Drosophila melanogaster: one gene and its partners. The protein of the gene in region 2 interacts with the protein of the main gene of each other region in a pairwise test. Each region holds a gene or a part of one and is shown on either strand. Other genes may lie near its edges. The genes, in order: CG30393, jbug, Rcd7 and CG8230.

Region 1 (7,227 bases), 1.5 Mb from region 2:
CGAGTTGACAGTGAGAAGTGCCACACACGTATGTAGCTCACTTGCTGCCCGGGTAAACTGGGTCAATGGTTAAGTTCATCGAACGCCCACGTTAATTGAATCAACATTAGTGAAAGGTACTTAACAAAGGGACGAATGAAACAACCATATGCTCTGTTTCAGCTTCAACACCTCGCCTTAAGGACCTGCACTGCTGCAGGATGCTCCATGCTCCTTTTGCACACCAGGACCTAATGGTCAATTTTACATTGCCGCCGCTCTCGTGCTGCGAGCAATTTGGCTGAGAGCTTAGTTTATGCCACATAAAAGATCAGGCTTAGCACTTGGCTAATTTGTTGCCGTTGTTTCGCCGCTTTGATGGCTCCATCCGGCCATTAAAAGCCACAACTTTAACTAACTTATGTACAAGTGTGGTCGAAATTCTAGTGAACTGTGCTGCTACTAATGGAAGTGGTTTAAAAGCTTGGGCGAGTAGAGTGATACATTTTAGTTTTAAATTCAAGCTAACAACTAAGTGCTTGTCATTTTTGGTTTTAAGGCATAATAGTAGCTTGAATATCCTAAGTAAGTAATTTGAGGAAGTAATAAGAGGATGAAAAAGTGCTAAAGGAGCATAACTATCAAACTTTTTAAATCTTTTTGAGGTTTGTTTTATACTACTACTACTACTACATTTCAGTGAACCAAGCTAAGCTTCTTATCTACAAAGTTACCAGGTAATCCTATGAACTGCAATGTTATAGTTTACCAGCTTAGCATCAACTGCATTTTCATTTCTTTGGCATTCACTTGGTATCTATTTAATTCACCGCAATTGTAGATGCTCATCTCCGGGCGTAATTTACTCACCGTGCGTCTGTGGCCTCCGCTGCGATAGCTTGCGGCGCTGCGGAGGCGTCTCCGTCTCGCTCAGCCGGGGCTCACTGGTGCAGTAGCTCCGGGTCTCCTGGAGCGTGTGCTGCTGTTGCTGCTGCTGCTGCTGCGCCTTGGTCTTCTGGCGGACCTGCAAGTGGAAAGGAGGAGGAGGCGTGTCTTTAGAGCGGGCAACTATGTATAGCTATGTATAGCTATCTATCAAACGCGGCCCAAGGCAATCGCTGTGATTTATGGACTGCCCTTGCCGATTGACTGAGAAATTAAATTGCATTTCTCACACAAATCAAATTGCATTTGTTTGTCCTTTGGCGTAACAGACGCCCCAGACGCCCATCTCACTTGGCCACCGTCAATGGCATAATTTATCGGCTTGTCCTGGCCCTGGTCCTCGCTAGAAGGGCTCCTGCGCGATCCTCTTTGAGGGGAACTAGAGTAGGGATATCCACCTAAATGTCAAGGTTAAACGCCTCGGCCACTCCAAATGCAATCAGCGCCAATGCTTGTTTCGCCCGCCGCAAAAGTTTCCTGCTCAGGCATTGGCGGGTAGGTTGGAGCAGGAGGACGTGTCCCTGTTCCAAATCCTTCATGCCACGTCCAAGTGCCTGTCAAGCCGCCTCAGCTCTGCGGTGCTCCATTGGAAGCCTGGCTGGCTGCCTGCCTGACTGCTAGCTGACGACGGGGCGAAAACTAATTTCACCACTGTTCCGGCAATGTAAGCTTCTTGTTCAGTTTCTTTGGTCCAGTGTGAGGGCGATATATATTTATAGCTGTGGCCATAGCCGCATGCAAAACGTCCAACTTTGTTAGCCACTTCCGTTTTCCTTGGCCCAAAAATCCAAAAAAAAAAAAACAAAAAAAAACAGGGGCGAGGGCGAACAATATGATTTGGGTGTTGGGGACCAATTAGTTGGCAGTTCGAAGTTATTAAGTTGTGCCGCTTATGTCCTTGATTCTAATTAATGGGTTTGGTTTTGCGGGGAGTATGTTATATATACGTATAGGTATTCAACTTATGGCTTTAAGCCTTTGATACGATTTCTTAATTAAATTTAAAATTATGTTTAAAATTAGGCCTTCTACATGGAACATCTTTAAAATAAATGAAACCAGTTTGCTTTAAAAAAATCTACTATATGTTTGATTGAGTTATGACCGTAAAGGTTTTTGGCCTGAATTTGTTGCTGATCGGGAACCTTAATCCCCTGAAAGCCACGCTGATTCCGCCACTGTTCCCGCACAAGGTTTTCTCATCGCTGGAAAACGGCACGCCGGAAGCGCTTGCTACGTGGCGTCGGCTGTCAAGTGGCCAGGGATTTGGGCCACGTTGAGTTTCTGGTCAGTTGGAGGGACCGGCAAAGCCGCCAAATCCGCAGGAAGTGTGGCCAAGGGGGCGGGGCGGCGGTCATTAGGCGAGCTGTCAGTGTAAACGTTCCTTGTTTATTTAGTGGCCGCTCTTTTGCGCTTTTTATGGCGCACACACACACACATACGAGTTTAGACATATAACTACGAACCGGACTGTATACGTATGTACGCATTTATCCTGGCATTTCATGGGCTCTCGTGACCAGTAATTGCTCTTCTTTTTTCGACAAATGTTTGCATGGTCTACTTTGCCGGCTTAATCAAATATTACGACCATACGGACGGACACCCACATCTGATCCATCCGGATGCAGTGGTCAGATGGTCGATGCTTCTCGCTTCAGAAATTAATTGCTTCCTGGCTTCCCAGTTCATTGACCATGCCATGGTGCTCCGCGGCATGTCCTGCGGCGGAGTCTTCAATTTGTACCCGCTTAATCCCCAATTAGTCCTCTGGGGCAGCGCACATAATTTATTTTCTTAATGCGCCCCGTTTTACGGGCGTCGGGGGATTAAATTAAAATTCGAAATTAATTTCACATTTCCCAGACACATACTATTTGACTTTTAAATTGATAAGACATATGAGTTATTCGTAAGGTTGGCGTCTTTAAATTTAGTGATATCTTACCAAATATATCAATATTTTTCATTTATTTAGTTTTGTAAAATGTACATACATCCTATATTTTTCTTGCAAATTTATTGTGTCACTGCTTAAAGTTTTGATTGCACACAAGGCTGCAATTTCCTTGCCTCCGATGAACTTTTGTGTCGAAAGTCGCAAAATATTTCCCCATTCATGGCTGTCTTATTTATTTGGTTTGGCTATTTGTTGGTTTTTGTCTAGTATTTGCATGGGATATATCTGACTTTGGGCCACAGAATGCCGTGCAAAACGAAAATAGCATTACAATGCGACTTCATCGTGTTGGCTGCTGTTGTGGCATCTTCTCATTAAACTTTTGCGTCTGCAGATGAAAAGTGCTAGCGACTTATCGACATTGGAACATCAAGGCACTGAGCACTTCAAGTTTACTTCCTTGCTGCTTGCCGATTGTATCCTTACTCCCCGCTTCCTTATAACAAAAGTCGTTAAAGCATTCCTAACTCGTTTTTAATACCCTTTACTAACTTGCTTGGCAAAACCAGTACGTGTTTGTAGTACTTACTATTTTAAGCATATAGTTTTTTAACAAAATTTGAAATCTATTTCGTTTAGAGAGGAGTTATGTATATGTGCAATCATACGCCAAAATGTAGGCAATGATTTTTAGAAACCAGGTATTCAATAGTCGGTAGCACCAAGCACTTACTTCTCACTTGCTTAGCTGCGAACTCATTACGGCCACGCCCAGCCAGAACATGCCGCCCCCAAAAAGCGGGAAACCATATGTGTGTGTGTGCGTGTGTCTTGGAAACTTTTTCTATATAAATTACCAGCTCGGGGCGCATCTCAGGCGATGAGAACGACATTTTTAGCACGTTGCATGGTTGTACGGCTGCTTTTTGTTGCCTCGTTTGCTTACTAATAATGTCGCGAGCAGAAGCAGAAAAGCAGGGGATTCACCAGCGAGGGATATTCAGCACCAGAAGCTGCGAACTGGAAGCTACACCCCCCCCCCCCTCACCAAACCAGCCAGGAAAACTCATACGCAGCGTATGCCGCCACGTGGCGAAAGTCTTTTGTGCGAGACAACCATCACATCAGTCCGATGAAATTGAATTTCGCCACGATATAACTCAATTCACACGCCGCACTGCAAGTGCTCCTCCGAATTCAAGGCTCCTCGGACGGCTGGCTGACGGAATCAATTGAATTGGAAACGTCAGCGACTTCAGTTTTTCTCTGTATTATTTCAGTTGCGGTGATGGTAAATACAAATAAATCCAGCTTCCTAAAATAGGCCTTTCCTTTTCAGTCAAGATTCAGTTGAGATTGTCGAATAAGTCGGACGGGTTCGTCGTTATTAGAGAAGGAGGTATATATATACACACTAGTTAATCATGGAAACAACCGCTCAGCTGCAGCAATTGAAACCCCAACAGAGCGTCATGTCGCACGTCACGGTCACCGAGAGTGATGCCGAGTTTGCGATCTTGAATCTGGATTGCAACGAAGGTTTGGAGAGCTCGGTGACCAAGATTCTGGTGGCCATCGAAGAGATGTTCTGCAGTTACTTTGAGGATCTCAAGAAGGAGCTGGAACTGCAGAAGATGGCGGCACTGACCTTGAATCAGCTGACCCAACGTTACAGGATCAACACGAAGGTGGACACGAGCTGCACGTGTCCGCAGATCTATGAGATCGAATCGGATGATGCGATCATTAACAAATACTACATCTACTACCAGGTGATAGCCTGTTCCAACAATAACCAGGGTTGGGTCATCCACAACATGCGCCCCTATGTTCTCCTCTTTCGTCGAGAGTGCGCCAAGTTGAATCTGAACGAGGATAGTCCCTTCATCATGGGTGACGCTTTCCACAAGCCAATCAAGTTCTTCATCGACTTGGTGGAGGAGCTCTTCGCCTACTTCTACAGTGGACACGTACAGTTCGACTGCGCTGCCCACATGTTGGATCCCTTGGACTTGAACAGCATCGAGTACTATCAGAAGCTATTGGAACCCAATGAGGATTTCGCAAATTACTTCAAGTACAACATGAGCTTCTGCAAGTGCCTGCGTATGCCGCGCCGTTGTCCTGCCCACGAGTATCCGCAGGTGAAAGAGGACTTTAACGCCACCTTTGTCAATCAGGCCAAGAAGAAGCGGTGTGCCAGGCGATGCGAAAAGATGGCCGAGGCCGAGAGCAATTTACTGGATCGAAAGAAGTCCATAGTTAGACTCCAACGTCCCAGTGAGATGTCTGGCATAAGCACCGGTCAGGAATTAGACCAGGACAACGAAAGGGAACTGAAGAGGATCTCTAGACACCAACGTCGCAGTGAGAGGTCTATAATAAGTATTACTAAGGAAGATTACCATACTCCTCTGCCCGACAACCGACACGAGCTAACTGTAAAGGATTCAGTAATCAGATGGTCGGTGAACCCACAAATTCTCTGAAAGTATGATAAGTTTTTAAATTTTGTAAGCAGTTACGTTTATTTTATATGAGGTGTATAGAATTTAATAAATTGCCTACTGATTTCCAGTTTGTTAGGATTCATCATCTGGTATAGGGGTATCCATCATCGTCGACTTAAATGTCATTCATCAGAAGTTGTCCTTGTTTTTGCAGGGAAATACACTAAAACACACACAACCGAAAATGGAAATGCGCGATCGGCTGTACCAAATGATGGTGAGCCAGAGCTTTATGTCGAGAGGCACGGTGACCGCGAGCATGGCCAATTTTGCGATTGGAAATCTTAGAAGTTCCGATGCTGTAGAAAAGAGAGTGATCAAAATTCTGCTGGTGATCGAGGAGAAGTATCGGAGTTACTTTGACAGCTATAGGAAGGAGCTAGAGCTCCAGAGGATAGCGGCAGAAACACTGCACCAGCTAATCCAGCGCTACAAGATCACCATGCAGCTGGACACCAGCTGCACATGTCCGCAGATCTATGATATCGAATCGGATGATGCGATCATCAACAAGTTCTACATCCACTATCAGGTGATAGCCAGTTCAAACAAGAATCAGTGTTGGGCCATCCAAAGCCTGCGTCCGTATGTGCTTGTCTTTCGCCGTGAATGTGCCAAGTTGAATAGGAGCGAGGAGAGCCCCTTCATTCTGGGCGATGCCTTCCACAAGCCCATTCAGTTCTTTATCGACCTGGTGGAGGAGCTGTTCGCCTACTTCTACAGTGGACACCTTCAGCTGGATTGCGCGGCGCGTCTGTTGGATCCCTTGGATCTGTACCGAATGGAGTGCTACATGAAGCTATTGGAGCCCAACGAGGACTTTGCCGAATACTTTCTGCACAACATAAGCTTCTGCAAATGCATGCGGCCGCCACCGATGTGTCCGCCGTACGAACACCATCAGAAGATCAAGGATCAGTCCGACGCATATCTCAGTCATGCCAAGAAGAAGCGATGTGCCAGGCGGTTTGAGAGAATGGCCCAAAACGAGGCACAGACTGCGAAGCGGGAAAGCGGCTCAGTGGAACGGAAAATGTCCATTGGCAGCGCGAGGACGACCAGGAGTCTAAGTCGGGAGGCTTCTGTCGTGGAAGAAGCCGTATCCGTATCCAATCAGCAACATGAACGCACCCTAAGGGATCAGCTGATGTGCGCCCTTAGCATTTCCCCCGAAAAAAGGCACGACGCCACCAACCAATGAGGTCAACTCGGATTGTAATCGATCAATTAATTGGGCCAAGTGCACGTGATTGCGTTCTCCGTTTCTCGGAAATGCCGGCGGAAATGTAGTTATACCCAGTTAACTCAATCCCTTCAATATTTGTGGCACGCAAATGGGAGTTGTTTACCAAGTAAACTTCAAAGTGATTATGCACCTCAATTCGGAGATACTTTCAGCTGAGCACACTCGATTAAAAGTGAGCTTAAGTTTTCACTTCAATCAAGTGAGACACTTCAAAATTTGTTGTCAGACGAACCCATTGAAGTTTTTTCAAGTTGGCTTTAAAATTAAAAATGTGATTCGTGATTGAACATTATAATCTGTAAACTGCAAAGCTAACAAACAAATATAATAAATTCAATTCAGAGTAATATTTTTATTGATGCTCTAAGTGCCATTTCATAAAATCAATCAATTATATTTGCGAATCAAATGGTCCTTTTGGGAATTAAAAAACACATTATAATATTGTTGAAATGTCAATCTGCATGTGCGTGACTACCAAATGGGCTAAAAGACGACGTATTTATAGTAAGCAAACGTGCATTTATCTAAAGCTATAAATAAATAAGCAACTTTTGCCAGAGTGACGGGCAGATGCAAATGCTAATGCTAAAAATCTGTACCGCTTGGATGCGTTCCAAGCGCATTACGTATACGCCCCGCGTACT
Region 2 (8,578 bases):
AATAAGTCTAATTTCTGCTGCCAATTTCAGTCGTTGTGAGCAACTCGTGCGCGCTGGACGTGTTTTTTTCAATTGAAACGCTTTTTTGCTTTTTTACCCCGCGCAGGCGAATCCGAAGTGTAAGCAACAAGTGCCAAAAGGGAAACAAACACTCATCTACATGTGTGTATACCCACACATATTTGTGCTTTATTTGTGCTTTGCTGTGTGTGTGTTACTCCCCCCGACTTTTTAATAACTTCTGATGCCGTCGTCTAACGTTAAAGTTAACTACATATAGTTTTCATGGATCTTCATGTGTCTCGCCGTTCGCCTTGTGTTTGGTTTTGAGTCTGTTTTTCTTTTTTTTCGCTTTGCGTGCCGAGCGTTGTTCTAATTTTAAGCTGTTGCTGCTTAAATTAGAGGGGATATATATGTATATATATGTATCCATACAATTTCATGCGGAATTTGTGCTAAACACGTGAACGGGCCTCGAGGCGTGTGAATCGGAAGAAAAACCAACAAAACAGACTTGGCCGCCAGCATAAACACCAAAAGTCGCAGTTATAAGATATTCAGATTCAGATATCTGGCCGCCTAGCCCATTGCATAATAGGCGAATGCGAGGGGAAGCGAAAACAAAAACAAAACTTTAACTAAAGCCAAAACCGAAAGCGAATCTGAATCTGAGCCCGAGTCTGGGCTCGCGTCTGAATCTGAATCTGGTTTTTCCGCTGGCGCTGTTCGATTGGTTTTAAGTGCTGGCTAAAAGGCATTTTCAATTGTAATTGCTGCGGCTTTTAGGCGAATAAACGAGGCAGAGTAATGAGCAAAAATTAAAAAACAAAAGAACACACACACACAATCATTCATACGAACCAAGAAGGTTTGGCTTGGCTGCGCTTTGGCGACGCCTAACGGCATTAATCAAAAGACTGAAGACACAAACTTGGCAGTGCCTCAAAAAGAGCAGGGAACACATATGTACATATGTATGTCTGTGCGTATGTGTGAGCACATCGTTTGGAGTGTTTTCTATTTATGACGAACCGCCATAAAAATGATGCCAAAAATAAGCGCTTACTCGCTATAGAAGCGTGCGCTAATAGGCCATCATTTAACTGTAAGGCGTGGCAAGTGTTACAATCGCATTTGGCCAACAGGAAGTCGAATATGTAATACCAACAGACAAAACAAACAGCCCACCCCTAGTCTAAAAAGGAAATAGCACTGAATCTACTTATAATAATCTTGGAAAGGATGCCAATGTAGTATTAAACTTTTAAATCGTATTATATTCTTTTGGCAGGGAATCCAAGCAACAATTGGCTTGTGTCCAACTGAGTAGTAAAGTTAAGTCTGCCTGTTACTATTATAATAGAAATCGAATATTGAAAAAAAAAAGGGTTTAAGAAACCTAATTGATGAAATAACTCAATCATCATTTATTTTTCGAGGTTCATCTCTAGAACAGCCTTTCGTAGTAAATTCCGTAACCATCCATCAACATAATTATGGGCTTCACCTCCACTCCAGTTAATCTCATATATTTCAAAGTTAATGACGTTGTCATAGAACATCTAACCAAATATATTCCCACAGCTCGGATCCAAACAGAGTTGTAGCTAGGCAGCCACTACAGAATCATTGAGAAATCAATGGCCATTTGGTACACGGTTTTGGCACAAATCAAACTTGAAATCGCACCCACGTCTAGAACGAGGCGTTGAACCAACCAACCATGTGGGTGGCTGTCCCGATGACGACGACTACGAGATTTGGCTGGCCGTGTGGGTTTGCAAGGCAAAAAGCGAAATAAGTATATACGAATGTATATTCGGACAGCAAACAAATCGAAAAGTGTAAAAAATGCCAGACACCTACGTGCACATCGCATTCTGTGATATAGATACACCGATTTGTAGCCTACGATACGTACACTTTTGCCCATTCAAAGTCGAAAATTTCGGCCATTACGTAATGCCCTAAACTAGGTGTGCTAGCTGGCCCTCTTCTGCCATTTAAAGTCACGACAACACTTTCGATATTTACCTGCTGACCAACTGAGTAAACTAAGAAGCGGATTGGTCATTCCCATTACCATTACCATTCCCATTCCCCTTGGCCAATAGCACCACCAATACCATTATCATGACCATTCCCATGACCTTGCCGCCAGCTGAATCTATAGAACTCGCCGAGTAGTGGGGCTCATTCCACTCCGCTGGCGAGTGCAACTAATTAGGTTCATTGCCAATGTCAAGTGTCAGTAAATGACATCAGCCACGGGATCACTCATAAGTCCGAGGAGCAATTCATTAATTTCCACTTTTTGCTGTCCCCGCTGGTTAATTTATTTCATCCAAGCCACGCAGTTTTGTCACTGAGACAAAAACACAACAATGACATCTCTGCTTAAAATAAATTAAGGTACAAATTAGTTTGCGGCAAAGCGGTGTATTTAAGTAGTTAATTGATGTTTTAAGAGGAATTCCATTGAAGAGTTACTAGATTAGCTACGTCAACTGTCTTTTGTAATATTAGTCAGCATGATTTTCTCGCACTGTATTCTCCTGTCGGGGCGTTAAAAAAGTGCTCAAGCCACAACTCATCGCTGTGCCGAGCAAGTGATGAGTGATGTCATCCCAGAGTTGTTTACCTCTCCGAAAAGTGTTTGTCAATAAATAGTATTCGTATTCGTATTCAAAATCTGCATACCAGCCTCGCTCAGAACTGGACGTGCTATGATATATGCGATCTGTGGCAATTGACTTGTTTAGAAACGCAACCGGATTTCCTATAATTAAGTTGGTTAGACGGTCATTTGACGCCTCGTTGTCTTCGCAACGCCGTGTGGAAAAATGCCAAAAAGGCCATTCAGACGGCCAACTTTCGGTTTGCACAAATTGTTTGGGTAAAAGTGCGACAAGTGAAAACGGGCGAACAATTGACAATTGATCGTGGCAGATTTCATTGCTGTGATTACGTCCATTATCTTCTGGGGTGGCTCCCACGTTTACACACATGTTGGCCTTCTAACGTTTGTGAAAGACTTGCCCAAACAGCCACATTCACGACAACCACTGGCATCCACAGTACTGCCCACCAGATCTGCTCGCTTTTTGCCTGCTGTTGCCGCGGCGAAATTCCAAACTAAGTGATTTCTGTTATTTTACAGACTCTTTTTTTTTGTATTATTTTCGCCTTTTTGTTATTTTTGTATTCAATTTTCCTTTTCGCTCGCTTCGTTTTGGCTTGGAAGCGACGAAACCAGTTTTGCTTTATAGCCAGATTCAGAGATATTCGCACACACACATTCGCTGGCGAAACCCCCCGCATTTTTTTTTATAAATTCTCCTGCTGCTCTCTGGAGCTTTGAGCTTTGGCCATGACGTCATCGTTTGTTTTGGCCAGGCCAAGAGAGCAGAGCCGCCCAGATCGACCAGCTAAGCGCAGTTCCAGTTCGCTTCGGGCCGCGAGCGCGTGCAAACGAAACTAAAACTGATACTGAAACCGAAACTGAATAGCATAGCTACAACTTACAGCGATCAGAAGTATCTCATCGCGATCTATCCATTTCTCCCGATCAGTGTTTCGAACGCGAGTTACATCTGTACATACATATGTGCGAGTCGCAGGTGAAGTGCAGTGACGTGCAGTGAAGATGGACGTCAAGGACATAAAAGGCGCCAAGGTGACGCATGCGGGGCTGCTCAAGCACAACTCCGATGGAACCACCGAAACGCAGAAGATCACCCATGCCGGTCTGGTGGCCCGGAGTCCCGAGGGCACCGCCGCCAAGGGTATGAACATACGGGGCAACGAGGACCTCTGGGTAGAGATCCAGGCGAACACATTCCGCAACTGGGTCAACGAGCATTTGCGTGAAACGGGAATGCAGGTGAGTTAAGCCATAGATATATTGTAGATATATTTACATTCCGATTATGCAACACTTTCTAACCGACTGAGTAATGCCTGCCGCCGACTGAATATCTGATCGATCAAGCGCAAAAAACAATTACCCAATCAATGGGCTAGCTCCGTTGAATGTGGAATTCGTAGAACTATTGATGAAGCAGGGCCTGAGAATCGATGAGTGAAATACAAAACGTTTAGATCTGGAATTTTAGCCAGGAAATGATTTGCGAAGGCAGTTGCACATAGAAAAAGTGGCACTGCTTAATGAAGTGTAATTAGGGATAGAAAACAAAATATGAATATGTGAAATAATGAACACTTTTTAATTGAACTCTATACAAATAAAATTTTCGATTATTATAAATCGCAATTAAGAAGCACTTTAAAAGCAAGGTTTTTGAAGTTCATATACTGATCCCATTTAAGCTAAATATAATCGCATAACGAGCGCATTGACTGGTGACAGAACACGTAAAAGTATAAATCGCCATCATAAACTGGGGCTTCGAGCTCTTCCGCGAGTTTCCCTAAAAGGCCGGGCTCATAAAACTCGGCTCAATCGCCCACGCAGATCTTGAACTCCAATGGCAGCAACGACAATTACATTAACAATGATGCCAAGAGTACTCACACGGACTTATGTGTACTGCCAACAATGCATTTCATTTGTCCAGGGACTTTTGAACTGTCACTCGCTTCGACGGATTTTCTCACACGCACCGCACTGAAACGACCTGAACCGACCATATTTGGCCGGTTGAATGCCAAGGCCAACGCATCGAGTTCCCATTAGCAGTTACAATACACAAAACAAGCTAAAGCTTTTGTGCGCGATCTTGCCCGGTTTCGAGTATAAAATTCGGGGTTTTATTTTTTTTTTTTTACTTTTTCGGTTGGGCCAAAAACGTACATACATACGTGTATGTGTACATATGTGATGAGCAAGGCTGAAGACCCCTTAGTAAACAGCGCTAATTGTGACCTGGCTGGCGTCTATTTGGGTCACCAAACCAAAACGAGTCATCCAAGTTTGCGTTTTTTACGCTGTTTACAATTCTAGTTCATGCGTATGCGACAAATAATATTGCAATCCACTTTGTATGACAAATGCATGTGCAAACAAAAGGGAAATGCTTTGATGGGAGCAGATACACGGAGAGAAATATTCAAAGTGACTGCATTGTATGACCTTAACGTTTTAATGCAGTGCAACAACAGTTGCGGCAGGTAGAATTAAATTATCTCAAAATGATTGCCACCATGGAACTGTCGTAATAGAATGACTAGACATTTTCTGACATATAGCAAAAATTTATATGCAAATAAAAGTACATATATATTTTGTTAGGTGAAAACGCAACTCCCAACGAAACTCGAGTTCATATCGTAAAATCAGAGGAATCTTAAAAATTTAAGGGCGGAATAACAGCAGCGACAAATAACAACCTGCGGCAGCTTGTTAGAGAGCCATGGAGCAACTACATATGTGCGATGTGAGATTTTTATGGCATCCAATGAATATTTTCCTAGGCACAAACAAACAGCAACAGACACGCGATTGTCTCCGTACCCAGTTCTCCAGTTTTTTGTCGTATTTTATTTGTTGAGTTGAGTTGAGTGGAGTGGAGTGGAGTTCCCCCCAGTCGAATCGAATGCCGACAGCAGCCAGATAAAAAGCTTTATGTCAAATGCTTAAAATCGCGCACAATTGGTTGCACCCGGGCGGAGAAAGCCGCTCAGTTCGGAGCAGCGAACCTGTTGGGTTCCCAAGCCCATTCTTGAGCTCCATGTGCCATGTTCCGAGATCTGAGCTCCATGCTCCAAGTTCCGAGCAAGCGGTTTACCTTGCAAAGTGGGCCACCAGTTTGCGGAAGGGGCGTTGATTGCTCATTAGGAAGGCTGCCAGTCAAGCGACCTTCTTGCATTTGCGCAGACATGGTAGGCGTTTCGCACATTTGCTAATCTCCATTGGGAACTATGTACATATGTACTACAGCAAGTCTAGTAATCTCAACTAATGCATAGCTATAAAGAAAATGCTGCTAGAGTCATTAAATAAAGATAAAAAATCTCTTCTTTCGAACATTTTTTTGTTTTGGGTTAGCATGCTTTTTAAAATTAAATCTATATAGAATGGAAAAGTAAAAACTACCCACTTAATAAAAGTACATTTTGCAAATCCATTAGACCGTAAAAAGCTAATATCATATTAAATGCAATTATAATAATAAACCTATTATGGAATGCACTCCCATCTCTTACTTGCCACATTACTTGCGTTGCTAAACGGAATGTATTCCAGCAGTAATCTAATTATTTGCCACAAACTTTCCCATTACTATTTCTAATGATACGGAGAAGTTAATGCAAATTCCCATTGTCTCTCAGGTTCATGACTGGGCCACCGATTTCTGCGATGGCACTTGTCTGTGCGCCCTTGTGGAGAATCTGCAGACGCGTCCACTGAAACCCTCGTGGAATCGCCGACCCGCCAACCAGCATCATTATTTGGAGAACGCCACCACGGCGCTGAAGTCCATCGAGGCGGATCACATCAAGCTGGTGAACATCGGCAACGTGGACATTGTGAATGGGAACATAAAGCTGATCCTGGGCTTGATCTGGTCCCTTATCGTGCGCTACCAGATCGGAAGGAGCAAGTTCCCGCCGCGCAAACTGATGCTGGCCTGGCTGCAGGCCGCTCTGCCGGACTGCAGGATCACCAATCTGACCACCGATTGGAATAGTGGCGTCAATTTGGCGGCGCTCCTGGACTACTGCCAGCCGGGCTTGTTCCCGCACTGGCGAAGTCTCGATCCCAGCCAGAGTGTGCGCAACTGCACCCAGGCCATGGACTTGGCTCAGCGCGAGTTTGGAGTGCCCAAGGTTCTGGAACCGGAGTACCTCGCCTCGCCCTGGTTGGATGAGCTGTCCGGCATGACGTACCTCTCGTACTTCATGAAGCCCGGTGGTCCTGGTTACAATGCCACCATGCGATGGGTGAATACGCAGGTCAAGGACCCTGTGAAGAACTTTACGGTATGTTAATATCCATAATCACATATCAGTTATAAAGCAGCCTTCTTTTTTAATAAATCCTTATGGCTCTACAATAAAACACGCTTTTTCACCGCATTTAAATATGACCTTTTAATCCGTTGAACAAATGTTAATGTACATCTGCAACAATTGCATTAAAAAGAACATAAATACTTATTAATTCTCGTATTTTTCCAACCAATAATAATCGTATCCCATAATGGCACTTTCATTTCGCAGACCGACTGGAACGATGGACGCGTTATGTGCGAAATTATTAAGGGACTGGGTGGCTCGGCGCCCGCACCGGAAAAGCTCAGCACCGATCCCTTCCACTACGAGAACAACATTCGGAAGGCGGTGGACGCGGGCGCCCGGCTGGGCGTGCAGCCCATCCTGACGGCCAAGGACATGGCCAACCCGGAAGTGGAGCACCTGGGCATCATGGCCTACGCGGCCCACCTGCAGTGGGTGCCGCCGAGGCCTCCGCTGTCCGACCTGGTCAGCGTCTACCTGGAGAGCACATCCGGTCGGGTGGGCGAACCGGTGAGTGAAGCATATATATACAATATATATATGAATGTACAGATGGTGGCAAAATAATAGGGCACTCATGACTAGAAAAAAATATATATTATTACTTAACACAAATCCGATCAGTGGTGTTTACTTACAATATAACTGGAAAGATAGCTCCCAATTTTTAAATTAAACAAATATTTTTACTAGTCAGCTCAATTATTTTACCCATCACTGTGGGTGTGTATATGAACACTGCAGTCTGCCAGGTGCAGAGCGTAAATTTTTAATGTCCGATTCACACGCAGACCCACTTCCGCATCGACGTAATGTCCCGGGACATAAGCCTCAGCTCAGTACGCTGCCACGTGGTTCCTCCGTCCGGACAGCCGGGACAGCCCGTGCGGCTCAATGCCCACGGCGAAGGAGTCTTTGTGCCGGAGCGCTATGGGATGCATGAGATTGTGGTGGAGATCGGCGAGGACAGTCTGGGCGGACACTTCTTCCGAGCCCTGCCGCGCTTGCTGCAGGTGGCTCCGCCGGGAATGGCGCCCTGTGCCTTGGGCAGTCTCGTCGAGGTGCTGGTCAATGCCACCGGTGCGCCCAAGACGGAGGACATCCTGGTCACGGCGGTCTCGCCCACGGGCATCTCGCACAACTGCCCGCTGAAGAAGATCGACGAGGGACACAGTGCCATATTCAAGCCGGACGAGGCAGGTATCTGGGAGATAGCCATCACCTACCAGGGTCGCCACATCCAGGGAGGCCCCTTCACCTGTGCCGTGTTTGATGCATCCGGAGTTTCGGTCCATGGGTTAGATGGAGCTATGCCGCTGCGGGCTCACACCTTTGAAGTGGATGCCCGTGGAGTGGGTGTTTCGGGCGAGCTGCACGTGGACATTGTGCACGACAAGCATTCGTTGGTCTGCTCGGTGGAGAAGATCGTGGAGAACAAGTACCGGGTGACTTTTATGCCCAGGCAGAATGGAAAGTATCGGGTGTACATCTACTTCAATGGCTACGATGTCAAAGGTTCGCCCTTCATGTGAGTACATCCACTGGTCTTAGAGATTCAATATTTAATTGTGATTATGTTGAATTCCAGCATGCGTGTGGG
Region 3 (7,969 bases), on a different chromosome or scaffold from region 2:
CACGCCCAAACTCCTTCTCTACCAACCCCAATACACATCCAGTGATCGCGTCAACATTTTTTGATTTATCCTCCTTCGCAGATCCCTTCGGGACATCCTTTTCTCCCAATTTATCCTGTGAATTGTAACTATCTTTAAGCTCCTCCTGGGCGCAGGGATCTTTATCTATAACCAATTCCTCCAGTAAACTATGACTTTTATTCAATTCATTCGGGTTGTACGAGCATTCTTCCAAGTTTTCTGGTGAACTTTTATCATTGTTTAAATGCTCCTGTTGGCAAGAATCTTCTTCCATTTTCTCCTCGAAATCTAAAACGTCTTGAATTCGGCTCCTTCTGTTTGACATCCGCGTTGGTTTTTTTAATTCGATTTTTTTAGGTTCATACATCCCAAGTATTTCTTTCTTCCTCTTCGTAAAACTTGATTTTCTGTTCCTAGTATCTATCTTCGATTTACTCTGGGAGAGCGGAGCTTTTATAGTTTTTTTGGCTATTAACTTCCTTACAGAAATGTTCCTTCCCTTTCTCATCGAAACTCGCTCTTTTTTGGTTATATTACCTTGTACTTTTTCCTCCTGATCTTGCGTCTCCTCCTCGGATTCCAAATGAAGTGGTGGCTGCACTTCGTTTACCAGTTTAGAAATCCTTTTGGCATCCTGTGCGGACAGCATGTTGATAGGTCTTAAGTCTTTGGCCACATGACGATTACAATATGGGCACTGACCCATTACTTTTATTCTTGTAGCCATAATATAAAAAGTTCTTGATTATCCACTGACAGCATTAAATATATTGTAAAATTGTATTGTGTTGTACAGTGTTGTTGTGAGTACTGATATCGTTTGAGAACTGTTTTAGTAAAACAAACTTGTTATTTGCTATGGATTACCCTTCCACGACATACTTTGTTTCAAACTTTTAATTTTTCTTTAATTTTAATGCACTATTTAGTTTTTACAATTAAATAATTTCAATCCCTGCACTATATATATATTCAAGAACATTAAAACATTGTAAGATTTATTAATATTGCTGATTTACAATTTGTGAGACCTGAAACTATTTCCTATATCGAATGGTTTGGTTGTGCCTTTTGCTCAATACGTGTTGCTAAAATTGTTAATGATATATACACACATCTAGAAGACGTTGCGGCAAATGGGACAGGTGGACTTGCTGCTTGTGGTAAACCATTTATACTAAAAAAAATGTAATCATTTCGTTAGATCGGAGAAAAAAAAAGCAGCTTGGAGGAGTCTTACCAAACAAGGTCCGTGGAATTTCTTCTTGCACGTTTTACACGTTAGTTTGGGTAGCTGGCAAGTCTCCTGGTGGATAACAGTATAGCACACGTAGCACTCTTCAACGCCCTCGAATTTTTTGTCTAAGTTGTTTTTCCACATAGTTAGGCCGTCATATATGGTGCCATTCTGCATAAGACAATTTTAATATTATTATTCAGCGGACATCGAGTAACATACGAAATGTATCAATATCAATATACCTGGTGTGTCAGGAAGATGGTCAACTGCATGCCGACATTTCGGGAGGAAGCACGTCCGCCGATCTGCTTGCCGCACTCGACCTTAACAGCTCCCAGTGGATAATTGGGAGCCAGCGTTATTACAAGTTCCATGCGTGCCTCATCGATGGCGTAGACCGCTAGCACTTCGCGGGTGGAGGAATGAACGGTAACCTAGAATAGAGAAATGTCAACTTTAGTCACATAGTTCAGTAGACTATGATTGTTTGGGATTTACAAAATATCCAAAGTTTTTTTATTCAACGGAAATTTAAATATATAGCGAAAGCACACTTATATCCCTTCTAGCAGAGATATGGTGCCTCTTGAGATATTTCGCGTTATTGTCATTATCATACTGCTGATTAGCATCACCGTGGTTTTTTCCCTTCGGCTAAGCACCCCAGAGCAAGAATAAAGACTTGAAAGGACACATCCGCTTACCTGCATATTCTCGTGCTTCTCCTTGCGATTGGCGATCGCTTTGAGCTCCTCGCTGCAAATCAAAGAACTCACGTAGTTTGTGGTCAGGTTGTCTATGAAGTTCTTCTGCCTGGACTGAGTGGCGTTCCACCACCTGCGCACCACGGCAGGCAGCTTGCGGAGCACCTCCGTGTACAAGTGGCAGGCATATCGCTCCAGGGGTAGATGTCGATCTGCAAAATGGATCAAGAAATGTAACAAGGCAAGCCAGGCTGCGAGTAGTCAAATTATGTTTATATAGAAAACAGTTCACTTTAAATCATTAGTCTCCTACCGTTCTGTGTATTGATCCGCTTCTTATTTTTTTTTTTTTGTATTTCCGTTCTATTTGAAAGCATGGAAAACCCAATAAACTTCAAGGATATACCCTCCGAGATGCCGCAGCCAAAGCGCATTCAACTTGAGGGCGAGACTTCGGTGGCCGAAGCCATAAACTTCCTGAAGACGCAATGCGATACGCGCAAGGAGCACAAGCCTGAGGAGTTTCAGCAGGATGGACCAACCGTAGCGGACGAGTTAAACGCTCGCCTGGCCATGGTTCATGTGCGCGAGACTCGTGCCAAACGCATTCGCCGCTTAGTTAAGTTTTCCCCCAATGAGACGCAAGCATTGTACAGGTAAGTAAGTATCAAGTTTTTCCATATCCAATACATGCATATTTTCGGAATTGCTTTGGCTTTTGGAATGTTTTTTCATAAATTAAATCAGACTTTTAACTTTCCTTTTTTACTATAAACAATAAACGATTCGATTAAAACCAATACAATATATACATTGGCCTGAAGGTTCATCTGTGTCTGTCCCCGCTACCATCCTTGCTATGTGCCCTGCCAACACACGGGACAAATAATCATCGACCGGGACGTGTTGTCCCGCGAGGAACACATATGTTTTCTAGCTACACCCAAGAAGGACTTCTCCTCACCCCAGTTGGCCAAACAGGCGCGCTACTACACCAAAAAGATCTACGTTAACCAATGTACAGCACGGGTTGAACGACTTGCCGATCCTCACCCAATGCGAGTGAGTGACACATACAATTTCTTTAAGGACTACCTCTCGCCTCGTCATATAGCGGCTCTAGAGAACCAGATGAAACCCAAACCTCCGGTAGAAGCCATGTCAATGGAGAAGGCGCTGGAATACATGGAGGAGGAGATGCGTCAGCGCAAGGCAGCGAAGCGTGTCCAAAAGCGACGATGCAAGGGTCTAAAAAAACGAATCATTTTGCGCCAGCGCAAGCAGATGCAAAAGATAATTTGCGTACTGTTCGAGGAAATGAAGGACTTTCTACTCAACGATCAGTTTATTGTTGACGAGAACTCCCCTCTATGTTGCGTAATTCTTGAGAGACTTCGAGAATTTACAGGTAAGTTGAATCTAACTGGGACACTTCAAAAATTAACTAATTGAAATCATCAAAAGATCAAGAATTCTATACGACAAGTAATTTGCAAGAGTATCAGAGGATATTGGCCAACAACCTAACCGTTTGGGTCAACAAGTTCATATCAAACTTAAACATTTACTTGACACCTCAGCAAATACCTGTAAAACGACAGATGATGGCAGAGAACGATCCCGAACAGTTTGTGCCCTTGTCAGATTTCATTTCTGTATCCGATGAGGCGGATGCAGAGGAAATGATGAACGATGTCGAGCACGGAGCCGCTGAATATGACGACTATGGATATGGGGAGGACTACTTGCCCGACGTTCTCAATACGGATATATCGGAGGAAACAATAATCTAAGTAATGTTCAGCTTACCCTTCTGCTGAGACCAGGTCAGCTCTTTGTAAACGCCGTTGCTGTGGACCTTGGCACCGTGGTTCTTAAGTATGTCCACGGGCATTGCGCGGAAAAGGAAGTGAAGGAAATTCTGTGGAGCAAAGAAATTGAAAGTGTAAATTTAAAATTATTAGTAAATTTAATGTATCGTTTCCAACCTCTTCGTATTTGTTATCATTCAGCCAATTGGTGTAAACAGCGCGCAATGCAACTGGAGACTTAGCGCAAGCATTGATAATACAATCCCATAAGAAAAGGTAACTCAGTGCATTGTGTCTGTCTATGGGTTCGAGATCATCCAGCTCTGATAGCTTGAACGTGAACTCTTCCAGGTATTTAGTTATCAGTGCATCGTAGCGTGTTAGATAGTCCTCAAAGCGATTGAGGAAGTGCCACTTGCAAATCGTTGTGCTGGCGTCTAGACTCTCACTTTGTTTCTCATTCAGCTCTATGTCGTCCGCCACAAAGTGTGGCGTTAATTGGCGAAGCGAGTGTACAGCACTTAATCGAACTGAGTGCTGGACACTATAAAGCTGCTTGAACAGGAAATTGCAGAGGTGGTCCAAGGTGATGTTACTATTTGACTTGCAGAACTGAAGTGTAAAAAGGTTTTTGAAGTTATTAGCCATAGAAAAACAACAAAATATTTCACTTGATTACCGAGTACACAAAGCTGTAGTCCAGTCGCTCTATGACCGGTGTTATTTGTTCTAGTAAGGCCTCATAGCATGCCTGAAATCCTGGATCCACACTAACCTCGTGGGTCAATAGGTAATATGACTTAAAGAGCACTAAATTGACTTCCTTGGCAAACAAAGAGTCCCATTCGTCGATCATGTTTTTGAGTAATTCCGTGGAACTCTTTTGCTTCTCGGAGCGTATAAAATCAATAAGGGCGGCAAACAATTCGTAAACAGCCACAATAAAAAGCGAAGTCTTCAATTAAAGATAATTTATTATTAATTATGAAAGAAATTTATTTATAAAGCCTACCTTTGGGTCTTGGTATTGTGCTATAGATTTTGAAACAGAAAGCACCCAAGAACTAAGGCCAATGCGAATAGCGTCCCAGTTCTTTATACTCAATTCGTATGGAAAACGTTTTAAAACTTCAGTTAAAAGCTTTATGAACTCCACTGTATTTATAACTGATTCGTAGGGTTGCCTTTGAATTTCTCTGAAAAATACAAACTTGGGTTTTGAATCATATACATTTTATGAAAATTATATTGTCTTACACATTATAATGGAGTAAATCCTTCTGGCTGGCTTGCCTTTCCCCTATGCTGGTCATAAACTGTACGGCTGATACAATTATATTGCGATCCGTTTGCTCATTCACATCGCCTTCAAAATTGTTTAATAGTAGAGCATGAAACACTGCTGCCTTAACCCAAATTTCAGGCGGTTCTGTTCCCATAATCGCAGAACTAAGAGTGATCGCTTTTTGAGAAAGCTTCGGTAAGAGAAACTGTAAGACACAAGGCATTATTAAGTGTTCCTGGATTTCTTTTAGAATTCCTACCTGTAGAGCTATTACATAGGTCTTGAGCGCTCCCTGCGTCACTAGATTTTCTGACAGATCTTCATGTAGCAAAATGGAGGCACTCTCTTCGAAAGCCGCATACTGTGGGCAAAATCTAAGGTAACTTAAAAGACGACAGTCAATTACGCTGGACTGCTGCACAGCCGCTTGCTGAAGACGCTCCTTTACTATTGCAACCAGATCGCTGCTGTTGCCCATAAAGCTTTGCACTTTCTCCGAAAGGATCAACACTAACTCCTCTGTCGACGATTGCAAGACTGACATTTCCAGCCAGCATTCTGCTGTTCCAGCCACTCGAATGCACTGTAAAAGCTCTGCAATTAAGGGTTCGTTCCATTTTTTGAGCACATCAGCATTTGGATCACAATAGTCCTCGGTCAACTCATCCTCTGGGTCGTTGGTGTCTTGAGGTGGTGGGAATTGATAGACGAGCTTGTAGATTGTAGAAAAGTTGAGTGTGGAACGTTGAAGCAATGGTAGTATTTCATTTCTTGAGAGGCAAGCATTTTCGAACGGAACTCCCGCAGTCACAGATCCGTGCAAGGCTTCTAGGAGTACACAATGGTTCTCAAACTGTTGAACCTTGTCAGTCGTTTTTAGGGGCGTTTCCAGAAGAGCAGTTAATGTTTCATCGATTCGCTCCAAGCGCTTATACTCATCTTCAATATTTTCCGTTGAGCAAATAACAAACTTGGCCATCGCCTCTGCCATTCCATCCAAAGTATCCGCTTTAAGTTCTGCTGAATTTGCCAATTCCTCAACAATCCCTGCGCAACACTTTAGCATGTCATCATCGATTTCGATATCTTTGCTAGAAAGTCCATCCTGCCAGCAAGTGGTAATTTCCCACAGAGTATCCTCCGACAGATAATCCTCTGGTCGGTGCTCCAAACTAAATTTGAACAGTTTGAGGAAGATGTGTTGGCGCACGTGCAGCGAAGAGTTATTGTTGCTGCAAATCACAGGCATTATCTGGGCAATAAAACTGCCACACACTTCCACCGCGTCATCGACAACCGGTTGCTCCAAGGGTCCGCACATGGACAGCAGTATTTTATCCACAGTTTTAGCATTAATGAGTATGTCTCCCGTGTCAGTTTGGAAAAAACACTTGTGAAGCAAGTTCAGCTTCTCCCGATCATTGTCTACAACAACCTCCTCAGCTATCCGCGCAATCATTTCACAAGTTTCCGGACCACTTAGCATTTGCCTCACGGCGGCCTCGGCGCATAGGGGATATGATAGTAGACGATGCAGCAAAAGATTTTGCACGCCATGTTGTGGAAGCTGTAAAGAATAATAATAATTTAATATTTTTTTTATACACTTTAAAATTGGTAACTACCTTCATGAGAGTGTTTTCAATATATTCAAAGCGTTTTCCAGTCTCTAGCAGCGGCAGGATTTCAAACACGATCTCCACCACAGATTCACAGGCCTGACAACTTAGTTGACCTAGCAGTGACACAAATTTATTTAACGCCGACGCAAGGTCTCCATCATCAGTTAAACTTTTGTAGAACGCGGCATCGTTAAACATTTTTGTAAGCGTTCGAATTTGTTCGATGTAACGCGAGCTCGAAGTACCACTCCCACTGCCTTTGTTGGCCTTATCCAGGCATATGCGCACTAACTTTATAACCAACTGCTTCAATTCCTTTTGTATAAAAGCAGCAGCTTCTTGAGCCTTTTTAACTGGTGTTGTGGGTTCGCTCTTCTCGATCTTTTCGTTTGGCCCCTCGACAAACTTCACACTCGGCGACTCCAGGCTAGGATTAGCCATATGCAGATCCTGCACTAAAAGCAAGACATGTCCGAGCAGTTGCTCATTCACCTCCTCGGCCGATAGGTCTTGTGTGACCAGCTCAAAGATGCGTATCCAGAACTTGTTCAGCAATTTGGCATAAAGGTCACCATTATCCAATCTATTATTAATCTGACGATCCCAGAAGGCCACCAGGGCTGAACTGTGCTGGAAGAAAATTTTTACATGCGTGCTATCGCTTTTGAGCAGCCAGGCAATGGGTTCAAGTACGTTGTTATCGAGTAGGCTAAAGGAAAATTCCTCCTCCTTCTGCTCTCGCTGTTTGTTGTTGTTAATCTGCTGCATCAAGAAGCGTAGGCACTCAAAATATGCATTATGTATCACAATACAATCGGATTTGGAAAGCGGAGGATCGAATTTCTTAGTGACTGCCAGCTTCATGTCGTCAAAGAAGCGCTGATAGAAATCGTAGATATCCAGGTCTTGAAGGGATGCTTGTGTAACTTTCGACAAAAATGGCAGCAGATTGGGACAGATGGCCTGGGCGTTGCGATTGAAACCATTTTGGAGCAAAGACGAAAGTTTGGGGAGAAGTGTCTTGCGAATGTTCAGTGGAACGAACCTACAAATATTAAACTTTATTATTGGAATTCACTTATAGTAGATCCTAGGTCTTACCAATCTACGTAGTTACTTTGTAGGAGCAGAACGCACCCCCAAATGTGGGGAGCCACCACGGGATCTGCATCGTCAATAAACTGAAAGCAGAGGTTAGTCAGCTGCGTCTTCTGAGGCGTGATCACATCCAAAAGTGCAACCGATTGCAGGATGTGATATATGCACTCGAACCAGGCGGCTCTATA
Region 4 (8,677 bases), about 14 Mb from region 2:
ACTGTCGTCTTACCCGACAGATTAATAAGTCCGCCCAAGGCAAAAGCAGTACAAACTGAGGACACCAAAGCCAAGGAACATGTGGCTCATCTGAAGGGAGCTACGTCCCAAAGCTGGCAAGGCAAAGCTGAAATACCATTACTACCCGCTTGTGTGAAGGCAAGTGTGAGGATGTCTCCTAGCATCAAATCTAAGGGGTCTCCCTTCAGCAGTCCGCCCAAGAAAGCAACCACCCAGCCGCAAGGTCAGTCACCACCGTCAACGCCGCCTGCCGTCAATATTATTATCAGTGTTCCGGAGTTAAACACGGGAATGAACGGCTTGTTTCTAGACGCCATTAAACGCCATTCCACAGAAGCCAAACCCGCGCTACGTGGCGTAGGGAGACGCCCTAAGCGACTGGCCAAGGGAACCACCAGCAGGGGGGGCATTCGCACACAGGATGTAATGCACTTGATCGAGCATTTGGAAACCACCACAGAAGCGAAACTTACGACACCACGGACGTAATAGGCTGGCATTTAGCTTACTCAAGTATTTGAAATAAATTTGCATATGAAATAATGCATGAAACCTCCGGATAAGAATTCAAGTTCGTTTATTTATAAACAAGTCCGTTACGCTATGTTTTTTTTTTTTTTTGGCAACTCAAATTGTGGATTACTAATTCGCGGCACGCGTCTAGAGCATGTTCAAGTGGACAGGAGAGATAGCGCTGCCGACAAGAGAGCGTGCTATCAGTGGAAGTGAACTTTGGAAAGGAGGTCGTGGCAACTGCGTCACGCGGAGATCTGTTTCAAGCCGCGATTAGCTGTTGAGCTGCAGAGACTGACTGATAATGCAGTTGAACGTCATCTAAGCGCTGTGACAGTGATTGCGATAGTGATGTCAGTCACGATAATATGGCATTACATCGACCCTTTGCAATCAGTTCAATAATCGTGCGACCATGTGGGGTAATCGCATTCGTGTGGACGGCCGGGGCACTTGAACCTAGTTGCCAACTGCCGGCGTAAATTGTTTCTGCTGCGTAGTTGCCTGTGTGGGCGGGGGCCGTCGGGCAGTGGGCCAAGTTTATTGTTTGTTTGGATTGATATATATAAAACGAGCGAAAAACTAAATTTGTCTCCCTATCTTATCTCCCGCAGGCGCCGACGTTGTCCACACAGGCCACGACGCACTGCAGCCATGGCTTCACCACCAGCTCGTCGTCGCCCAACCGTGTGGTGACCCGCTCTGCCACCATGCTGGCGCTCTTCGGCATCGCGCTGTCCTCGTTCAGCCTTAAGCAACTGCTGGCCAAGAAGCAGAAGCACCAGGGCCTGCGCAAGCTCTAGAATGGAGCTATAGCCAGAAAGATTAGAGCGATGCCAACGCCAACGGTTGAAGCGGCGATGAGGAGCCAGAGCGCCATGTCCTGAGGTCACACATTCGATATTTTCATCATCCGCCATCATCGTGTATATTTGCCTAAGTTAAGTCACCCACTCACCACAGACCCAAGCGGAACTCGGACATGGAGGCTTGTTTTGTAATATTCTGTTCGATAAACTAACTGATCGGAGGCGAGGATCTGTGCGCATATATAGATATATTTTCTTGTTTACACATGCACACCATGCGTCGCCAACTAAAAGGAATAAATTTGTGATAAATCGTGTATGAAAAAAGCCCATCGGCAGACAAACTGAACGAAGGAGCGATGGAGGAGAAGATTCGCTGAGCTTGCGGGAATCCCAAATTTTCCTATACTCTTTTGTTGCCCGTTTTAGTAATATTTATTTTATGTGTAAACAAGTCTATTATATACGTATATTTATTTACAAGTTATTTGCAAACCAGAGAAACGACTAAGTAGGGAGGTATAAAACAATAATGACTTCGTTGGACTGCAGATCGCCGAGCAGGCTGTGTCAGTATCCAAGAAACAAACTAGTTCTAGTTCCGTATTCAAATAAATGCATTATATTCAATTCGAAAATATTGATTTTTATTTCTAGTTTCCGTTAAAACATGCATGCTAAAGCACATATGAATATTAAGCCAGCACCTAGAGGTTATGAATAAAACATTTTTAACATTTTCCTATAGTTCCTAGTCTAATATAAAAAATAATTATTTGTTCCTCGGGTTAGTGACTCGTTGATGATTTGCGTGAAAACTAAGTACTTTAAAAGAATCAACAGCATAACATAAACTTTCGGCTGTCAAGGCCTAGATACTCTATACCCTTGAAAAGTTATATTTACGTTAAAATAGCTTATCCACCATCCGTAAGTTCGCTGTAAATCCCCAATCTATTGAATAGTTTCTTTTTTCTTGTTTATGCAAATAAATACTTTAATTCCCAAAAAATAATGTTGTGGTTATTAATAATATTAATATTAATAAGCCAACATATTATCTAAAAATATATAATATATGGTTCGCCTAAAATTCTTTAATTTCTTTATCACTTCTAAAATAATAAAGTGCCAAGGACAGTTTCCGAAGAATTGCTTTAGCAATTGCATTTCATTGTAGAGGCGTTAATGTCTTGAATTACATTTTTAGGACATTTATATGGACAGCACATAAACGTGTTTCAACATCCGAAGGTTCAAAAAATTTAGTTTCAGCTTCAAAAATCCGCATTTGAATTTTGCGCCACATGTGACAAAAGTATTGCGCAGCGGCGGCACCACAGCTGCACGGATTTCCGCAGCGCTGAGCGAGGGTCACACTGGAAGGGTAAGCACCTCACCCCCCCGCTCAATGATCAAGTGACGTGCCACCAATATAACCATTGGCCGGCCAACAGCACTCTTTCGACTGCGGAATGGGCATCAACGTCAGCAGGACGGCCGACCTGGGGTCCAACCAGTGGCTCCAGCGCTTCGTGGGCCGCCAGCACATCGCCCACGATGACGAGGCCTTCTGGAACGGGCTGCTCAACTACAACATTGTGCTGCCGGAGAACAGGTGAGTGGAGTGGAACAGGAGTGGAGCAACAACGTCAGCAGGGCTAATCTCGGGCGGTTTGAAATGGTGTGTGTTTCAGTCAGGACCAGCTCAACCTGGACAGCCGGCTAGAGGCGCTGTGCCAGTCGTTCATCGGCAATAACCTGAAGACGGGCAACTTTGGCTCCCTGGTGACCGTGTTCCTGGAGAAGACCAGCGAGCTGCTGTCGCTGTCGGACCAGGAAAGCAACATGCACGTCTGGCAGACCTTCAACGCGCTCTTCATCATCCGCAGCCTGGTCAAGTACATCAACGAGACGGGCTCTGAGTTCCAGCTGCTGCAGCACTTTGAGGCTATGCCGAATGCAGAGCTGCTGCAAGCGGCATTGGAGCAGCAGCAACAGACGCCGGCGGAGAGCGCCACCATTGCCATGGAGGCCACCGAACAGTCGGCGGCGGCTGCGGTTCCAGTGATTGTGGACGGATCTAAGTTTGAGACCTTCATCGATGCCCTGGTGAACCTAATCGTCGTGATTCCCGTCAAGGAGTTCACCTACCACCTGCACCTAGAGGCCGTTAACATGCTGATCACCCTGCTGTCAGTGCATCTGTTTGCCCAACAGCCCACGGACAAGTCCATCGTGTTCCGGACGGTCTTCAAGTGTCAGCACGCAAACGTGCTGATGTCGGCACTGCTGCATTTTGTGGCGCGTATTGTGGAGGTGCCGCACACCATGTTTGGGTCCAGCTCTGCTGGATCCTTTGTCTTTGGCATCGCGGAGTCGCTGCTTTCCATCTTCACGTTCCGTAAGCAGCCAGACATACTGAAAGCGGGCCAAGCAGCCGGCGGTGGAGAGCTCTCGCAGCGATTCCGTACCCACTACCCACTGGCCAACCAGAGCCTGTTGCTGATCCTGATACTGACTAACCACTGCACGGCACAGGATAACGCCTATCGGACTAGCCTTTTCAGTTGCGCCGATTCAAAGGATTCACCAAAACAGGGAGCTGTCTCCTTCCAGATCGACTTCTCGGCGGTATATGAGACATTGTGTACCATCGTTACCATCGACCAGGCCACGCTGCTGCTCTATCTGCTGCTCCATCGCAACGAGCGCTTCTACCGGTTCGTCATGCAGCAACAGGACTTGGAGCAGTTGGTGATCCCCATCCTCCAGACACTGTACAACGCCCCCGATAGCAACTCACATCACATCTACATGTCCTTGATCGTGCTGCTGATCCTGAGTGAAGACGAGGGCTTCAACAAGAATGTGCACACCATAGTAGGTCATCTGTGCGTGCTAATAGTTGCATTACTAATCCTTTCTCATCCCTGTAGATGCTAAAAAACATCACATGGTATACGGAACGCACCATATCGGAGATATCGCTGGGCGGCATCCTAATCCTTATCGTCATCCGCACCATACAGTACAACATGCTGAAGATGCGCGACAAGTACTTGCACACCAATTGCCTGGCGGCGCTGGCCAACATGTCCGGCCACTTCCGCGCTCTACACCCTTACGTGGCACAGCGACTGGTCTCGCTGTTCGAAACGCTCGCTCGGAAGCATACGCGCCTGGATGCGCAGCTCAAGGAGCCGGCCGATAGCGCAGTGTTTGTGAACGTCTCGACGACCCCGGAAGACATGCTACAAGATCTGAGCGTGCTGGAGGAGGTGTTGCGCATGGTGCTGGAAATCCTAAACTCCTGCCTCACAAACCAGTTGGTCTACTGTCCCAACTTGGTGTACACTCTTTTGTACAAGCGCAGCGTCTTCGAGGGCTTCCGCAGTCACCACGCCTTCCAGGATGTCATCCAAAACATAGACATGGTATGCGCACTAGTTCCGATCCGATTATGCGATGTGTCTCATGCTGTCTTCGTTTTCAGGTTGTCGGTTTCTTCTCCTCGCGTCTGCAGCGTGTCCAGGAGCAGAGAGGCGAGCTTGGGGTCAATGAAGTGCTCGAGGTTATATCTAAAGGTGCCAGTCAGTGGTCCAGCGATCGACTGAGAGTAAGTAATCCGCTCGATGAGTTACTCACTCAAATCGCAGGCTCACTTATTCTTTTTGTGTTTATCCTGCAGAAGTTCCCGGATCTTAAGTTTAAGTACGTCGAGGAGGACGCTCCCGAGGAGTTCTTCATTCCATATGTGTGGACGTTGGTCTGCAAGTACGGCTGCGTGCACTTCAGCTCGGAGAGCATCAAGAGCGTGACCACGGACATAGCCTGCTAATATTTACTGCTCTATCCCTTCCTCTCACGCACACACCCGGCTCCGCTTTGGTTTCCACCATGTTTCGATGCTTCTCCGTTTGTCTTCTGTGCGGGATTACCCGATCTTTAAGCCATATACCACGCCCTACCTTTTGATCCAACCCAAAATGTCGAAATGCAGTATCAAAAACAAAACAAAGCAAGAGAAATGTTGCGCTAAATAAGAGGCATGCGCATCTCGAACGTTGACGACAAGAGGAGACAAAGCAAACGAGAGAACTAACGATAATACATAGACATAGCTACGCTTATACTAATGTGTATGTTAACAAGCAATCCGGTCGGAAATTGTTGTTCAAGTTAAAATATAGCAACCTTGAAACATGATCATATTTTGCCAAGCCGACTGCAATGAGCATGTTTAGAGGGAAGTTAAGCTCCGTACGCCTACAGATCGATGTTCTAATCAATGGGAAGCAGCAAATCCAATAAAAAGTATATATACATATTAAAGAATCGGAATATACAATATATGCAAAATATATTTACATTTTAGTCTATGGTAATTATATATTGTATTGTATTTAGCAATTGAAAACGTCGATAAACTATATATTAACTAAAGTTAACGCTCTTGTGTTTTTTCTTCTGTCTATGGCAGCCTTTAGTGTTATCTGCGGAAAGCCCAAATTTATTTGGGTTGGTTTTTATCAGAACAAGAATGTGATTAGATCTTCTTTGCAATTCGTCATCGGAACGTGGCAGTGTTTTATGAAAAAAGTAGTTGGTCTTTTGAAATGGATTTATCATTAAAAACGAAGTTCACTTCTTGGAAAGAATTCAGTGTTGAGAAGTATTGGTTAGTCATATTACTTCAAGATTCATTGGGTTCGTATTTGGTCAGTTTATTTTAAGCTAAATATCCACATATCCCAATGGGTATTCATTATATTTCGCCAAAGAAATATCGCCAAACGGAAGCTTCAAATGAAGTTTCCTTTATTACGTATACGCCGGGTAAACAATGCTTAAGCACCTCTTCTCCCGTTTATCATTTCCACTACGCATACGGGCTTCGCTGTTTGCACTTCATTGTGCATATTTGCACTATCGGCTGCAACAACAACGATGATGGGCTGGCTGCCTTGTTTATTGTTTATTACTACTGCTACGTTTTTTTCCCACCACCAGCTTCATCGGCTAAATATGTGACTAAAAAGCCGCGGGAAAAACGACGAGATGACTTTTACTGCCTGCTTACATTGGGGTTCGTTGACTTGAACGGCTGGGCGGTAAAGGGGGCTGGACTTGGAGGATGGGGGCTCAATCCGCTGAAGGTTTTGTTGTGGTCTCGTCGCTGTTGCTGCACTCTTGTCAGCTCTGCGTACGTGTCTTAAATAAGCAAGTACACAAATAACAACGCACAGGTTAGTATTGCGATAAAAATTGCATTTGTTTTATCGCCGCCGAAAGGCGGAAAATTTGTTATTGTGAGCTTTTCATGGCGTGCTGCATTTTAATTCACTTTAGCCCACAACAAACGGCGAAAATTTTTCAAATTTCTTTTGGACCCCCCTTCCCCCATTTTGCCATTAGTTTTCCATGCTGGCTAAAAAGGTTTATTGACTTCGGGCCGCGTTTTGTTAGCCATTTGTATTGTGCTGCCAATTTCCCAATTGATAGAATTTGCCAGAAGCTTAGCCGAGTTCGCAACCCTCGGCCTGCCATTGCGAAAAACGAATATCGAAAAGTGGCAAAGAAAACTCGAAAAGAGTTGCGCATGCGCACACTTGATTGGCGCTCTACCCCCTCCCACTCCCCGCTCCAATTGTGGTTTGTTGGGCAAATTTCAGCGCAAATTAGTTAAACCAACTTAATAAGTAATAACAATGATTGGGTTTAACGCGATACAGTTGTTAAAGGTCGGAAATGAGCAACTAGTGCACACTCTTAACTGGAAACATTCTTCAAAATGGCCGCCAATTTAGTAAGCTGCTTTATACAAAAGGCAAAGCTTGAAATGGTATTAGGATTTCATGAATGCGTAAATGCATATAATTGCGCTTTTATCAAAAGTAATACAAAATAATAATATGTATAAGGACTACCTATCTTATAGGTTAAGATAAATGTAAAAGTAACGGCTGTACATGTACTCCATTCATAGCTTAACAGCCTAAAAATAGCTTTCTACTTCAAATTTGTTTGCCATTCCATTGAATTTTAAAAATTTTATTTCCTTATATGACTATTTTATTGCAATAACGTGGTGTTATTATTGACCAATGTTATTTTAATCCAATAACAATGAAAAAGTTTTCAGTTTCTTATATATTTCAACAAAATTATGCTTTTTAATTTATATATGTATATATATATTAAATATGCTGTATTTTAGATACGGCTTAAGGAAACCCCATTCCCATTGTAACTTATTTCTCGGGAACGGCGAATGGGCATAAGCTAACCACCGATGGCTATTACTTTGTTGGACCACTGTCCAGGCCACTGCTCTGCAGGAGGGGATCGACCACTCCAATGGAGCTGGAGCGGCAGCCAGTTCATTTGTCGCCGCTGGGGATGGATGATGTTGCAACGTAGCGGCTGGGCCCGCATTTTCGCTTTTTGTTTTGGCAAGCGGCTTCAGGTCGTTGATCCACCGATTTTCTATTTATACCGACGAATGCAGGCCCGCACAATAATCTTGGAAATTTGCCCAGTCCCAGTTTCAGTTCCAGATCGCAGATTCCAGGTCGAGACTCGAAGTGAGTCCAAGTCGTGAGTTCCAAGCAGGCACGTTGGCCGAATTGGAGATCTTGTGGTCTTTCTCTGACTGTTTTGGCTGGCCGACTGGCCTGTTGCCAATCGACTTAGCATAAATTCGCACCTCTCGGCTGTTTATGTTTACCTGCTTTGACTTTGGCTCGGATTTGGTATTGGAATCGGTTTCGCACCGGTTTGTTTGTTTGCTCCGCCAGATCCGCCGAATTCCGAGTGACTCCGTCACTCCGCCGCCGCATCCGTGCGTATTTCAGCAGCTGACGCACTGGTTTGCCTAGACCCAACTACATACGTGTACGTGGTCCACTCATCCATCCGTGCCGTGCCTGACCTTTGCAGCTGCCGATCTTGTTTGCTATGGTTATGTCCGTCTACATCTGGGCGATCGATCGATTGATTGCCCATCGCATGAATGGGCCAGTTTCTCATTGGGAGCTCGTCTGTGCTTTGGACCATTTCCAAGTGAAATCTACATATGAAAGTTAGCCTGCTGCTACTCGCCTCCGGCAATTGCGCCCAGCGATATCTCGCACTTTTGAGGCCGTTGGTAATTGTTTTCGCTACTCTTGGCTCGAACGGCCCAAACAGACAATATGCTTATAATGTTTATAAATATTCAAAAAAATAAACCAGTTGTCTATCGCTGAATGGAATTTTGCAGGCTCCAATCGATTGAAAGTCAACAAACAAACATTCGTAGTTGCTAGAATTGTCTAGAAATTTGGATAAGA

Evidence for each region.
Region 1: the proteins of jbug (region 2) and CG30393 interact in a two-hybrid assay, tested with the Drosophila melanogaster proteins (one large-scale study listed by BioGRID).
Region 3: the proteins of jbug (region 2) and Rcd7 interact in a two-hybrid assay, tested with the Drosophila melanogaster proteins (one large-scale study listed by BioGRID).
Region 4: the proteins of jbug (region 2) and CG8230 interact in a two-hybrid assay, tested with the Drosophila melanogaster proteins (one large-scale study listed by BioGRID).

Annotation. Positions count from the first base shown.
Region 1 is NT_033778.4:21,264,537-21,271,763, reverse strand, and holds CG30393 (uncharacterized protein), read left to right. Parts: upstream 1-4,184; 5' UTR 4,185-4,248; coding exon 4,249-5,313; 3' UTR 5,314-5,400; downstream 5,401-7,227. Other genes in the region: CG30391 (uncharacterized protein), read left to right, coding at 5,519-6,535; Rgk3 (Rad, Gem/Kir family member 3), read right to left, coding at 850-1,003.
Region 2 is NT_033778.4:22,731,910-22,740,487, reverse strand, and holds the start of jbug (jitterbug), read left to right. Parts: upstream 1-3,442; 5' UTR 3,443-3,646; coding exon 3,647-3,883; intron 3,884-6,291; coding exon 6,292-6,942; intron 6,943-7,182; coding exon 7,183-7,488; intron 7,489-7,769; coding exon 7,770-8,506; intron 8,507-8,566; coding exon 8,567-8,578.
Region 3 is NT_037436.4:19,543,344-19,551,312, forward strand, and holds Rcd7 (reduction in Cnn dots 7), read left to right. Parts: upstream 1-1,766; 5' UTR 1,767-1,837; coding exon of another isoform or gene 1,838-1,939; 5' UTR 1,940-1,965; coding exon of another isoform or gene 1,966-2,177; 5' UTR 2,178-2,206; intron 2,207-2,260; exon of another isoform or gene 2,261-2,339; 5' UTR 2,340-2,340; coding exon 2,341-2,621; intron 2,622-2,789; coding exon 2,790-3,373; intron 3,374-3,429; coding exon 3,430-3,758; 3' UTR 3,759-3,774; coding exon of another isoform or gene 3,775-3,886; 3' UTR 3,887-3,950; downstream 3,951-7,969. Other genes in the region: CG46434 (uncharacterized protein), read right to left, coding at 1-727; Ltn1 (listerin E3 ubiquitin protein ligase 1), read right to left, coding at 1,139-1,198, 1,262-1,429, 1,504-1,695, 1,966-2,177, 3,775-3,886, 3,954-4,388, 4,456-4,731, 4,789-4,972 and 4 more; CG46435 (uncharacterized protein), read left to right, coding at 1,838-1,939.
Region 4 is NT_033778.4:8,941,413-8,950,089, reverse strand, and holds CG8230 (uncharacterized protein), read left to right. Parts: upstream 1-2,745; 5' UTR 2,746-2,818; coding exon 2,819-2,961; intron 2,962-3,040; coding exon 3,041-4,226; intron 4,227-4,282; coding exon 4,283-4,780; intron 4,781-4,839; coding exon 4,840-4,962; intron 4,963-5,034; coding exon 5,035-5,184; 3' UTR 5,185-5,792; downstream 5,793-8,677. Other genes in the region: CG8229 (uncharacterized protein), read left to right, coding at 1-510; CG33199 (uncharacterized protein), read left to right, coding at 1,149-1,337.